2 linked regions of the Mytilus edulis genome follow. The protein of the gene in region 2 purifies or fractionates together with the protein of the main gene of each other region. This does not show direct contact. Links are inferred from orthologs where the notes say so. Each region holds a gene or a part of one and is shown on either strand. Other genes may lie near its edges.

The links.
Region 1: the proteins of WD repeat-containing protein 76-like (region 2) and lymphocyte-specific helicase-like purify together in Homo sapiens (affinity purification with mass spectrometry; 4 studies listed by BioGRID and IntAct, counting the BioPlex papers as one, with this or other methods). This does not show direct contact. The link is inferred for Mytilus edulis from reciprocal best matches to the Homo sapiens genes WDR76 and HELLS.

Annotation. Positions count from the first base shown.
Region 1 is NC_092357.1:53,594,293-53,601,458, forward strand, and holds the start of lymphocyte-specific helicase-like, read left to right. Parts: upstream 1-4,157; 5' UTR 4,158-4,388; exon of another isoform or gene 4,389-4,445; intron 4,446-6,092; 5' UTR 6,093-6,112; coding exon 6,113-6,118; intron 6,119-7,166. UniProt on the Homo sapiens protein: Plays an essential role in normal development and survival. Involved in regulation of the expansion or survival of lymphoid cells. Required for de novo or maintenance DNA methylation. May control silencing of the imprinted CDKN1C gene through DNA methylation.
Region 2 is NC_092350.1:66,305,081-66,312,922, reverse strand, and holds the start of WD repeat-containing protein 76-like, read right to left. Parts: upstream 3,016-7,842; 5' UTR 2,922-3,015; coding exon 2,838-2,921; intron 1-2,837. Other genes in the region: uncharacterized protein, read left to right, coding at 6,097-6,124. UniProt on the Homo sapiens protein: Specifically binds 5-hydroxymethylcytosine (5hmC), suggesting that it acts as a specific reader of 5hmC.

The DNA of each region.
Region 1 (7,166 bases), on a different chromosome or scaffold from region 2:
GCTTCGCCGCGGTTGACAATGTTTTCTCGGGACCCAATCTGCTCTATCACCCTCTCAGCTATGTGTTTTTTATATCTTATCACATATTTGTTATGGATACGGATACATTTTTAAGATTTACCTTTTATGTTTCATTAAATTGTTATAATTGAACTTTTTTCCCCTCTTTTCTGCAACACTTAAATATGTGATAAAAAGCTTAAAGATTATAACATGTTTTTCCATATTTGCCCTGGTATCATCCCTCGATCCATATCGGCCCTCGGATAAAGCCTCGAGGCCGATATGGGAGTCTCGGGATGATACCAGGGTTAATATAGAAAAGGGCATGTTATAATCTATACATATTGATTTCATCCAAGAATGGTCGCATATATCATGTGGATTCTGTTTAGGTTGTCATGAATGACACTAATTTGTATCTAAATTGGTATTAACCAGTATATAAATCAGAGATAAACGTCGTAATGTAACTAAACATCAGTAAGTAAAATATATTGGGATGCTAGAATATATAAAGAATAAAGAAATAATAATGAGTAAGATAAAATAAAATGTAGAGAAAAGTAACAGACAATTTAAAGAATATAGAAATAAACAACACCCCCAATCCGGACCCTCATTGTATACACGAGAATCTGGATGGAAACACAGAAAATATAGAATAATAGATAAGGAGAGTAGGAAGTGATGCATTAATAAAAAAAAGATAGAAAAAAATAATAACTGTTTGAGAATAAAGACATGAAACTTCCCTGGGTGTTGAAACAGTAACGGATTGCTATGTACTCATATTGGTAATAAATGCTGAAAGTTTACATGCGGACAACTGCAGTTCTCCTCTGCACTTATGTAGAAAGGAACTAAACGGAATAAAATGAATTAAAACTTAAGATAACCAAATGTAGCTGCATTCGCTCCTTTCCATTTACTTCTTTAGACTGATTTGTAAACAACAGATGATTCAGTAATAGAAGAAAAGAACCAATCGAATGATGTTGACGATTTAGAGTTTAACGTCCAGTGACAAATATCATGTGCATATGAGAACGACAACACGTTATATGTACCCTGTGTTGTATTAGAAAGACACTTTCGGACGGATTTGAAAACGTGCTACTTTGAACAGACACAAAAATTAAGGCTGAGGAAAACGTTAATAATAGATTCATGCATATTCCAGCAGGCAATCCATATCCATATATTGAAGTGACACACTCCTTAATAAAATGCAAAGGAAGTCAAAATAAAAATGTTCTTACTAGCGTATTGTCATTTTTTTTACTCAAGAGCATCTCATTCTTAACTTTTTCAAAGGGAAAATATAAAGGTAGCACAACTATTGTCGTGGCTAAATAACTCTTAACTGACACAATTTCAATTGTCCAACCCATTAACAGACTTTATTCCCATAATGTTCACTAAAATGTGGTATTACTGACGTTATATTACAATTATGAAATATTTACTAATTTCAATTTATATTTTAGAACCAAAGTACGATTTTGTGTCCTTTAAATGATATCTAAAATTGTTTTTTTCGCCTTTCATTACAAAAATTGCTATGCGTATAAGCATAAATACTACATACTTGCGCGACGCCTTTTAGTTTTACTGAAAACTGCGCAGACTATGAAACGTTTTTACAGTTGGAAAATGTTCTATGATATATATCATTTTGTCAGACACTTTTCTTTTTTTGATTTGATTCTTATAATGTACCTAAAATCTGTATATTAAATAGATTTCAATATTAAAATTGTGCGTTTTACTCTTAACAGACGTATAACCAACCCGATTAACAGACCAACCGCCGATATAGCCGCATACTCAATATAGATTAACCGACTATCTCTCGGTTAGCCGAGTGTCGGCCGTGAGTATATAAGTAATTATTTTATTCTTTATGATGACAGTGCACATTTTCTACGTACTTTTTAAAAGTAAATATTTACTCTTTACATAGAACCTGCAGAAAAAAATCACTGTATTGCAGGTGCCTGTAAAATAGCCAGTTCTAGAGAAATATGCTTTTTTGCCGACTTGAATAAGGACATTTTAATCAGAGTCGTCATAATAGCAAAATTGCTATTTTGCAGGCACAATTATGTGCGACTTCTGACGAATCATTATAAGGATATTTTGACGAATCACGGCAATATTTTAACTTACGCTAATAGAAGCCGAAAATTACAGTTTAACGAATAACGGTAAGTGGTCAGTGGCAGATCCAGAAATTTACATAAGTGGGGGCCCATTGACTGACCTAAGAGGGGCCGCTCCAGTCACGCATCAACGATTCCCTATATAAGCAACCAAATTTTCCCCCAAAAAGGGGGGCCGGGCCCGGGCCCCCTGCCCCCCCCCCCCCTAAATCCGCCTCTGGTAGTGTTCACTTAAACTTTCAAGGAATAAGAGAATAAGAAAAACAAATTTGTCTATATTTGATTTTTTTTATTGATATTCCCTGAAATCATATGTAAAATAATTTGTCTATCATTTGATTTTTTTTAGTGATATTCCCTGAAATCATATGTAAAATAATAAGTAAAATGTTCAGTGATTATATTTTAAAAATGGCTGGTAATTTTCAGGGATTATATATAATCACTAATGATTTTACCGATTCTACATAATCACTGAAAATCAGTGATTCTATATAATCCCAAATGGTCTATACAAATTCACTGTAAGTACTAACATATATATAGAAGAGAACATATTTTATTTCCAATTTAGGGTCCACAAGGGGCATACAGAGCATACACGAATAAGGAAAAAGAATATTGATTTGCATAGATACATAGATATAAACAATTTTTTTTACATACAGTTACAATACAATTACTAACTCAATTCACTTTAATAAGTTTACCAACAGCATTAAGGACCTGATTGTCTTCACAGTTTAATAAATAAATAAATTTATGCTGATTATCAAGTATAGAAAAATTTGGAATTCTTTGGCAAGCAAAGTCAAAGAGAGCATCTCTGTCTGATTTAAAATTTTCACAGTTAGTTAAAAAATGGATTTCATCTTCAACACAGCCAGAGGAGCATTTTTTGCAAATTCTTTCATTTCGTGGAATATTTGAAAAACGACCTACTTCAATTTGAAGCTTATGAGCAGAAATACGTAATTTGCATATAGATCTTCTAAAATCAAAGTTCTTAATTAAAGAAAGATAATTTTCATAACCAAAATTCTGCTTAAATTTCACATAATCAAACAGTTTTCCATCAGAAGCTTTATTTTGGCTAGCATACCATTTGCTAATATATTTACTGTGAATTAATTTGCTAGATATGTTCAAAAATTTATATTGTCCGAAATGTTTTACTTCTTGTTTAATTTCAAAAACTTCTAATATTTTTTTTTAACAAATGAGAACCAAGAAGTTATGCTAGCTATAGATTTGTGAAGCTCTTGGCTGCATTTATAAGCATCTTTCACTAGACTGAATTCAGTTGTAAGATTTTCAAATCTATACCAGTATTTTACAATTTACTTTACAATATCATAATGTAAGGGGAAACGCCCCAGTTCTGATAATACAGCAAAATTGACACTCCTTTTGTGTACATTTATATATATATGTGTATAAATTTAGAAAATTTAAGATGGAGATTCTCACACTTAAGATTTTTAAAAATATTTTCAAGATTAAATAAGGAAGACTGTAATTTATTACAAGAGACATCATTTCGTGTTTTTAAGCCTGGGATTTCGGGATTTCGTATTTTTAAGCCCGGGAATTCGGGACCAGGACCCTTCCTACCCTCCCTCACTATTCTTGAGGCACAAATTAAATAATTTATATAAGCAACCTATCAAATATGACTGACTATATTTTAACATTTCATTTGAAATCAAATCAGGTCCACAGTCCTTGGCGTTGCATGATTTTAAGCTCGCAATAGCATCAGAAATTTCTTATATATCGAGGTTCTTTTAACATGTGTGTGTTTTTTTATATATATTATTCATTTTAACGGTTTTTACTAGTCAGAATTTATAAGATATTTGTTAATTCATTCTGGGAACTTATATTTTAATCTATATTTTGAAAGTACAGGGTACCTGGTCCCTGGTTCACTACAGTAAACATCACATGACGTTTAATGCGTGGGGCGAGTTGGCTCATGTCTGTTTGTCTAATCTGGTTACCAATGGTCGGGATACAGGCTGTTAATATCCTAGATGGCGGGAAAGGCTGACAAGCAGATTTATATATATATTATCAGCTTATTTACATTGTAAAACTTAAACACCTGGTGATCGCTAGAATTTTATTAAGTTTTCAAACGCACACAAATACACACAATATACCTCAAAAGTTTTTCTTGGAGACATAGCTTAGGATACTGTATGATTTGATTTTAACGTGGTAAGATAGTTACGATGGTTATGCAAGACATGGAGACTGGATTAACAGACTATAAGGGTATCCCCATCGTGCTATTGATAATGCATTGTAACGTAACAATTTCCATTGAAAAAGCCAGAGGCGGATTTAGGGGGGGGGACCCCTTTTTCGGAAAAAATTTGGTTGCTTATATATAGGGAATTACTGATGCGTGACTGGAGCGGAAGAATGTAGGACAGAAAGTCACAGGACAAAAAGTCACAGACAAAAAGTCACGGACAAAAAGTCACAGGACAAAAAGTCACAATTCTGTTTTGAGATAATTTTTCTTTGAACATGAAAAAACTTATTTTGGAATAATTTTTTTTTGTATTTTTCTTGAAGTATCATATATGAAGCACCTTTGTTGTTAAAATGTATTCAATAAATATCAATAATCATCAAATAATTGTCTTGATTGTTATGAAAACAAAATGTCAATAGTGGCTTGGCACTTAAATGGCTTCATTTTGCCAATAAATATATCCTTTTCGTGATTAAAATTTAATATAAGCAATTTCCCTAACTAAAATGTGAATATATGTAATAAAAAGAAAACATATCAAAATATATTGTTTAAATTGTCAACAAATTATTTGTGACTTTTTGTCCTGTGACTTTTTGTCCTATCAAATTTGTGACTTTATGTCCTGTGACTTTTTGTCCTGTGACTTTCTGTCCGTTTACCGAGCGGAAAACCCCCCCCCCCTTTTAGGTCAGTCAGTGGGCCCCCTCTTATGAAATTTTCTGGATCCGCCACTGAAAGCATGCATAGTACAAATTCATATGACGAACAAAAACATGATCTGACAGAACACCCTGGTAGCCAAATCAGAACTGTCGCTCTCGCTCTCGACTTGTCTCAAAAATATTTTCTGGTCCAACCTAGAAATTTAAATCTTCTTTGCTGATTAGAAGTTTTTTGCAAACATTTGTAGTTCAGGATCTCTTACCTTTTATGTGCTTATCATGCTTATTGATATAGAAATATCCAGAAGAAAAGATAAAATAAGTTACAATTTCAATAGAAGTGAGCAAATATTTACTGATTTCAAAATGGTTCCCTGAACTTCCAAAATACGTTGCTTCTGAAGAGTATGAAATATCAAGATCGGAACAATTTGGCAAACCTGAATTTTCGGATAATATAAATCCATACAGTCCGAGGACTTACTGGAATCAGTGATTTTTAAATCACTTATTTGGGTAGCAAATTCGAAATTTTGTCACAAATTGTGATTTCGTTGTTTTACCAAAATTTTAAACACATAGGTTTAAAAAATATCTTTTCATTAGTAAAATTGAAAAAAAAAATGTTTTTGCTTCTTTTAAGAATTAATATTCACTTCACTTGATATAGGGTAAAAATTGGTTTGTCACACTTTTAAAAAGTTCTGCTTGCAGGATAAACCAAGGGGTTAAACATAGGTCACTTTAAACATGTCATTTTAACTTTAAACTATAATATTCAAACAAGTATTACACAGCTGTTCTCATCCAGTTAGAGCCCTCAAGTACTGGCAGAAGGTTCAGTTAAATGGTTCCTGGAAGCAATCAATGTCATGTGTAACTTTCTAATTATAAGTTCAAAGAAATGTATGTTGTTTTTTGTTCATATCAAATATTTTCAAGTATGTTATTTATTGTTTATATCAAATATTAACATGCATATGTTGTTTATTCCAGATTAAAAAGAGAGATCAAGTATGGATGTAAGTAGACATTTGTACAGTATTTATGTAAAAATGATTAAAGTTACAACTAAGAAATAGTGTGGGAAGGGTGGGAATGATTAAGGTCAGCAACCTACCAGTTTATCACACTGCCCACTACCACTGTCCTACATGTACATGAGCTGATAAACAACAGATAATGACAAACAAATGTAACTTATATAAACTATCTGATCTAACAAATGTATGAGAGTCAGAGACACAAAATCATCATAGTACAAAAAACTACTATTCGGTATAGTGTAGGGCCAGGCCACCATCAGGGAATTAACAACAGATTTCTTTTAATAAAAACTTAACTGAACTCTCCTTTAAAAATCCGAAGTGAAAACCCTCAAACTGACATAGGTTTAAAAAACTAAATAACCCTTCAAAATGCCATTAGAATTTGAACTAGTTTTTGCATCAATGACCAATACATTTCTACACTTTCATGACTTTAGAATGGGAGACATCTTTTATATATAAAAAAAATTGAAGGTATAAAAATTGAAACATTTAAAAGAGCTTTAAAATAAAGACTGTTTTCCACAAAAAGAAAACCCCTAAAAGTAAGTTTTGTTCTTGAAAAATTAAATATGTTGGTAGTTACTATTGTGCAAATGTTGAGGCTTTTACATGTTATCATATTCAAGGGGCCTCTATAGCCAAGTGGTTTGAGTAGATCTTGTACTGTATTAAATCACTAGCCAGTCAACACTGAGCTTGTGGGTTTGAACCCTGCTTGTGAGGGTGTACTTGACTTCAATCTTAATTGACTAGGATTTTTAGTTTCCCTATCGACAGCAAGAGTTTTTCTCCTGCACTCCGACTTCTTCGCCATTAAATACTGGCTGCCATGAAATAATCCAAAAGCCATGCTTAAAAGTGGCGTTAAAACACAATCAAATCAATCAAATTTAATGTTATCTTAAAGTTATTCAAGATATTTCATGCTTTTCTTTTCTTTTAATACGACCACTCAAACATTTTTTGGGATCGTATAATGGTATGATGTCGTCGTAAGGGCCAAAAAGGGGCAAAAACT
Region 2 (7,842 bases):
TTTTTCAACTACTAGTCTGAAGACCAATATTCTGACATTTTTCTTAATTGTCCAAACAAAGTTTTGCAAAAACTTACTAGTCCGAATGAAGTTTTAATGGACTAGTATATGTAGCTAACCGTGCAGACTGCTTTGTAACTACGTAAAAATTTCTAACCGGCAATGAAAATTTCATGTCAAAAATTATTAGGTGTCAAAAGTTCCCCCCAAAATTTGCTCTCAAACTCCAGACGTAAAACATGGCTTCAGCGTTATGGCGTCGTAGGAAGGTGTCCCAGAAAAAAAATTAAAATAGCCTTGCCAGACGTCATAATTATTTGGACTAGGTCATGTCATGATAGTAGCAACTTTTGGTTAGACAGTTTTCTAAAATGAATTGGTTGCTAGATTTAGATTATTCCGTTGAAAGATTACCAAGGATCAAACTAATAAACTAGCACTGAAGCAGGTAATGATGGTATTTCAGAAAATTTGCCAACCATAGGCATTAAACATATAAAGAAAACTACTGCAAAATTAATACTAGTACAATCAACAGGTCAGGAATAACCACCAATTGGTGGATTATTCCTCAATTGACGTATAATCCACCAATTGACATATAAAGATATAGACCAATTGGTGTATTTTTTTTTGTTTTTCAAAACAAATTATTTTACCAAAATGGAGCATTGTTTTCTTAAAACCATATTATGGTATGAAAACTTGTCAAACATTCCTAGTTTAGTATAGTGACATAACATATTGAATTTAATCAATAATTGTATTTGTAGTTTCTTCTATTGTTATCTTGTCAATTCTTGATTGGCAAATTTACCTGTAATCACCTGTCAATGTATGTATGTATGTATATATGTACTTCGAGATTCCACCAATTTAGACGCACCCCTTGATTGACTGCAAGGGTACAGCGGATCCATGTACACTCCCTAAGGATTAATGGAGATGTGTCCTTTACAATATTATCCTACCACCAGAACAATCCCCACCCAACACCGCCCCAAGGGAGAGTGTAGGACACAGGGAAGTCTGTTATTATGGTGGAGGAAGCCGAAGTACTCGGAAAGAAACACCGGGCCACTCGGTGGAAACACGACAAACCAGAGAGATATCAGAAGATTGATCTCCAGGTCAAAGTAGGGGACAACTTTGACCAACTGAGGCCCCCAAAGTACCCATTCTAGTTTAAACTCCAGTCTGGGTACCAGAGATGTGTGTGAGAGGGTCAGTGTTCCAGCTAGGCCGTTTTCAGAGGGCGCGGCGCCCGCCCTTTTCCGAGTGGCGCCCTGTGCCCTTTTTACAGTTTCCAGGGCGCCCTGCCTTTTGCATATTAATTTGCGTATTGATATGATACGCTAATTACTAAATTTTACCTGGGGAAAAGATTATGACTTTGTTTACCACCCCAAGCTAATCAATGGTTACAACTGGTGTCATAATCTGTTGTTATAGGTAATCCGTTTATCGGATGGGTCATTAATGATCATCAACATTAATTCGTTCAAATAGAATCGGTCAGTCGGCAATTATCTTTGAAGAAATGTGCATACAACAACTTGGGCACAATTTGCGATGTTTACCGTAGTTTCATGGAAGAAACGTAATGACAGAAAGTTGGAAAACCATTATAAACTCGTTGAAGACATTGTTTTACTTGTTTTCTGTAAAATAAACAGAAAATTCAGACGTATTTGCGATTGACTGCCTTCATTTTTGATACGAAAATAACAAAATCGGCCGCCATATTGTGATCATATTTACATCATATTTACGTACTGTTTATAATCCTCCAAAGAAGGAGCACACCCGAATAAAGAAAGATAACTCAATCTGATTTTTTTCCTAGCATTGAGTAACCCATTTACATATTCTAAAATGTGTCTCCATACTTCTTGCTTAAGAATATATATGTTTAGGTATTTATTTTGAGTTATGGGAAAAGTTAAAGAGGGTCTTAGTAGCAGTGTTGGTAGGGTGCCTTGGTCATCTTTTTCTGTATTCTTTATTTTTGATACTATTTTTCACTGTTGCTTTATATCCTAAAATTGTGAATTTCCTGAGCACAGCTGTTTTGTGCTGTATTGCTATCAAGCACAGCAGGGGTAGAAAGGTGAAACTGGTAAAATGTGGTAGACCATAGAAACAGTATGAAACAGATCTCCTTTCAAAACATACTGCATATAAAGTTCAACTGTGCCAAGCAATGATAAAAAAACTTGTGTGACAAGCTGCTTGACAAGTTTTTCAGCCTTAAAAGTAGAAAGATAGAGTTCTATATGGGCTAAAGATGTTGTTCTTGTATAACCTGTGATTCAACGAATAAACACAAATGTTTGATTAACATCTTTTATTAAAATATGCCCTTTTCATATTATCATATCGCGCGTTAAATGCCCTTTTTCAGGATTGACACCCTGCCCTTTTGAAAACCTAGCTGGAACACTGAGGGTGAAAATCACCCTTCTGATGTACTGATATTTTAAGCACCCAGACTGGACAAATGTTTCAACAAAAGAATTGTTGTACACATGCATTCTCAAGAGATGCAGCAGGCTTTGACAAAACTGAAACTTTCGGAGGACTCAAATTATAAGGGTCATAAAAATTATATGTTGCAAGTTGCAAAATCATGCTCCTTTCTCACACTAGCATTTTATTACAAAAAAATTGCATTATACGTCAATTGGTCTATACCAATATACCTCAATTGGTGGATTATACGTCAATTGAGGTATAATCCACCAATTGGTGGTTATTCCTGACCTGATCAAGGAAAATTTTGTATAGTCTTACTATACAAATCCTTGGTACAATTAAATATGTTATTTTGAGCTCACCTTGCTCCGCTTTGAAATAACGACGGGAGGAGATAATGTTGCAGCTTTTCTTTTCTTCATTGAAAAATTCCTAGAGGTTGGCATGTTGTTGATGTTTTCTCTACAAACCGCGTCAAAAAATTGTTATGAAACAGTTCCCGCCAGTACTTTCGGAATTTATTCGGAACATTATTTCGTCTTCTTCTTTCGTATCAATATCCCCAGAAAGGAACACCTCACACAGGGAAGGTCTATGAACAGGACAGATAAAACCAGGACAGTTATTTTCGATACGTTTTTATCTGTAACTTTCGTTTTACTCAACATATTGTTAAAATGTAAATTGTATAATAAAGAACAGGATATTTACTTATATTATCTGTAAAAGAAAATAAAAATAAAAAATAACTAAGTTAAAAAAAAATCTGCCAGGACAGTTTAATATTATGAAAAAAATGGCTGAAATTGCCGAGAAAAGTTTACTTATAAATGAAATATTTTCTCCAAAACAACTGTCTGGCATAATATTTTTGTACGATTATAAAGTTTATGGAATATTTATTCTAAAAATTTATGGTTTAATATTTTTTTTCATCTTTTAAAGGTAAAAAAATCTGCCAGGACAGTAGCCTTTCACGTTAGAAATTTTGTTGAAATTATTTCAAAATCAAAATATAAAATTAAATATCTTCTTCAAAATAAATGTCTGGTAAACAAATGTTACTATAAGAAAAAGATAGATTTAATAAACCAAGGATGTGAATAGTGTCTTACTATACATGTGTACTTTATTATGTGACTGTGTGAATTCTTTTTATTGCACTCAATATGTGACACTTTAATAAACAAATTATTCCGGCGAGTCATTTAATGTATAGCTATAATTAACTAAATGATTTTTGCGGATTCCGGAACTTTCAGTGAGATATAATAGATTTAAATTTGATTTTGAGTAACAAAAAGAAAGTTAACAAGAATTTCCAGCTGAAAATCTAACAGGATTTTGTCACCATGGTCACTTTATTTCAAACATCTAAATAAAAGGATCAACACCGATTGGGACTCTGATAACACTGAGTTAATTGTTAAAAAAAAATATGTATTTGCATACCCACAAGGTTAATCTTTTGTATTGGAAAAAGAATGACACATTTCTTAATTCAAACTGAAAAAAAAACTATAACTGGTAAAATATATATATATGGATTTTTTTTTATTGATTTCTGTATCATTGACATATGATTTCCAACCTAGAGGTGTTACAATGTATGTACGTCCGGTGACCGTGCACCCCACTGCATAAATTAAATATGATATACGTCTAACCTTTATACATTTGAATTATCATACATTTATATTATTATATACATCAGTTTTGTTTTTGGAAGATTTTGTAATTTTTAGAGAAAAAGAATGTTGTAAGAACTGCCCGGTGTTTTTTCCCCTCTTTTGAATACTCAAATTTTAATCAAATTCTGTTTTATGATTATTCAGATTATTAGTAGTTTAACATTAATACGATATATAAAATGTGCCACAAAACGAGGAACCACACGGTCTCCGTTCAATATTATAACCTAATTTAAAAAATAGTTTAACTGCCAAATCATTACATACATAAAGTATATCGCAATTAATCTATTATTGTAATATGTTTAATAAACTCTCTAGCCAATGTAGAAGAAAACACACACCAAGACGCACAGTAAAATGTGCCTGTCACGAACCTATAATTCAGTGGATGTCGTTTGTTGCTGTTTCACATATATTTTTTTTGTTTATTATTTTTGTATAAAAAACGTTAGTTTTTCTAGTTTTTCTTGTGTTTTTTATTCGTTATTTCGTGACATTGCGTTGTGGGTTTTGCTCATTGTTGAAGACTGTACGGTGACCTAAGTTGGTAACTCCGCGCCGTGACGTTGTCTTTTGGTCTTTTGTGGAGATGTGTCTATCTAATTGGAGAACATACCACTTCTCCTAACTTTTATATCATTCTGAAAGGAGGATAACCAAACACTAACACGTTTTAAGTTTAACACCGTTACATTTTGTAAGTGCGATCTAGTCCTAAGTCAGAAGGATGGGCAGTAATTCAGTGGTTGTCGGGTTTTTCAGTGTATCATGATATTTCTTTATTAATTTTTCATTTACTGTTTAGATTATTGATAAATAGAATGGCATTATTTTTCTTCATTTCAGTTTTCTCAATGGCAATCACAACACATCTTGATGAAGAAAACAATTTGTAAATTTGCAAGGTGGCTTAATTATGTGTGCTCGATTTAAGGATACCAACAAGTACTATAGTATGACCGCAAATCTACCAATTTTTAAAATTTAAAGAAATACGGCTAGTTTAGAAGTAACTACGCTTTAGAAAACAGATGTTGGCAATATTAACAGATTCGATACTTTAATTGACATGTATGACACGAATTAAAAAAAAAAGACTTAATCTGTTGTCCGCTATTCTAAATGCATTTATTTTTTAAATAATACACACAGGACAAGCCAATCTATACCTTGACATGATATAATATATTATGGATATATAATACAAATTTGTAGGACAAACTGCATACATGTTTTGATTAACCGACCTAAAGCCGAAAGGTCAAAATGAATTCGTACGAGAAGTTATCCCTAAATTTAGTATTCAGTTCATGTTACAGAGTGTTGTACACGTAAAACTGTGAAATGTCTTGACACAAACTCGGTGAAAAGTTATCAAAAGGTCAATCACATCAAACGAATGGAAAACAAGTGTCATACCCCAGACTTTAAACCTAATATGAATGTATATATATATGGTGTGCGCAAGTGTCAAAATATGTGTGCTATGTCAAGAACGGTAATTTATGTTCAGTAATATTTCAGTTATAATTATATTATCAAAACATGCATTAAAGGCCTTACGGTGACCTATAGTTGTTAATGTCCTTTTGGTCTCTTGTGGAGAGTTGTCTCATTGGCAATCGTGCCACGTCTTCTATTTTATATATAGTTTGTAATTCAGGAGTAAGGTTAGCAACTGCATTCCTGTTAGATAGTTAATTTACATTTCTTTAATCTTTAATCTTTCCAATTTAGATATTCAAGTCTTACAATGTTAATTATAACATAAAAGTCAAGCCTTTGCATGATTAATTTTAAAGTCAACACATGAATAATCAAGTTCATCAAATTAATAGCCAACATTTAAAAACTACAATTATTTCTATTCTGGCTATTCATTTATTTCTTGGAGACTTGTGCTAAAGTGTTTTCTAACAGAATCAAAATGTCTGGTAATTACAAAAACCACAAAGGTAAGTTTTTTTCAGGTTTTTTTCAGTTTTATTGTATCCAGGGACTTTCTATGCTAACTGGACTCGTCTCTATTGATTTTGACTGATTACTAAGCCGCCTGTTTAAAGCTACCACTCAACAATAAACTTAGTTTCGTATCTCTGATATACGAAGCTAGTAGTTATTTGCGTATTTCACAGTACATTGTAATGATATAATTATTATTAGTTTTTAATATAAATTGTTATAAGTGACCAGTCCCGTTAGTATAGAAAGTCCCTGTTGTATACCAAGGTAAATCTGAAACTGAACAATTAAAGTCAATCCATAGTTTTTTTTTCATAATTTCTATTATAAAACACTTTATCCCAGTTATCCCTCCTTTTATCTATGTTATCTCCCCTTATTTGGCAAAGTTGAAAAAAATGAATCAAAACAAACTTGGTGTTTATTTAAAAATTACAGTGGTAAATATGATAAAACACATAATTTTCTTTATTTACATCAAAAGTCTTACACGTGAATTACGTACCACTCTAGAAATTTGCACGTTTCATTACAGATCTAGACTAATCTGTAACTTCAAAATCCAAGATGAAGGAAGACATCCGAGCCCCCCCCCCCCCCCCATGAGGAAAAACCTTCTATTATTATTATCATAACGCATAAGTTGTATGTTTGAAAGGCACAATTATGTATAGATTATTTTAAATACAAGACAAATTCAATCAAATATTAAATTAATCATATCTCGAAAATTATATATTTTGACTTTTTTTCACTTTTTTAGTGACTGCTTTGTTTTAACATGTCCTGGTAGATACAAAAAGGCGTTTTACCTTGGTCAGTTGGTCAACACAATATCAAATGGAAAGCAAACACATTTACTTTAAACTTTAAATATTTTCCAGAACTCAACAGAGAAAATTGTTACGTTTTTTAACTAGAACAAGTGAGACAAAACTAAATGAATTGTCAGTCTATTGAAATTATTGTAACACTTTGTAAGTTTGTTTTATGCCGTAAATATATTTTATAATCGTCAGGGGTGGGTCCAGGTAAGGGCGTAATGGCGTACCTTTTCAATTTTTTTTTTAAATATCGTAATCTGCTAATATTGTATTGAATATGGCAATTTATCATATTCATTACTTAAACATATACTCTGATTTCTTTTTATACTGATTCCCCCATCCAATGGGTGACTTGGACACCTTTTTTCAACAATATAAATCTATACATGAAATGGTTGTTTTGTGTGACACTTCCCCAATGGCTATTCTACATCTACACGGGTCTGGGGGGGGGGGGGGGGGGGGGGGGGTACTCGCTATATATACTTATATGATACCGGGTATGTTCCGACAAACGGGGTTGCATTTTCAGCAAAATTGTCTGAATTTGGTTATGTTTTTTTCTCGCCTTGCATTGGAAGGGGCCAGATTTAACTATCTATAACGGGGTATTTTAAATATACAATGTTTACACTATTGTTTCACATAAGGGTGAATGTTTGGTACCATTAAAACGTTTAAACCCGCTGCAACTGTTTGCACCTTTCCTAAGTCAGGAATCTGATCTTCAGTAGTTTGTTGATGTGGTTTATAAGTGTTTCTCGTTTTACGTTTTTTATATAGATTAGACCGTTGGTTTTTCCCGTCTGAATGGTTTTACACTTTGTCTAGTAATTTTTTGGGACACTTTATAGCTGGCTGTTCGGTATAAACCAAGGCTCCGT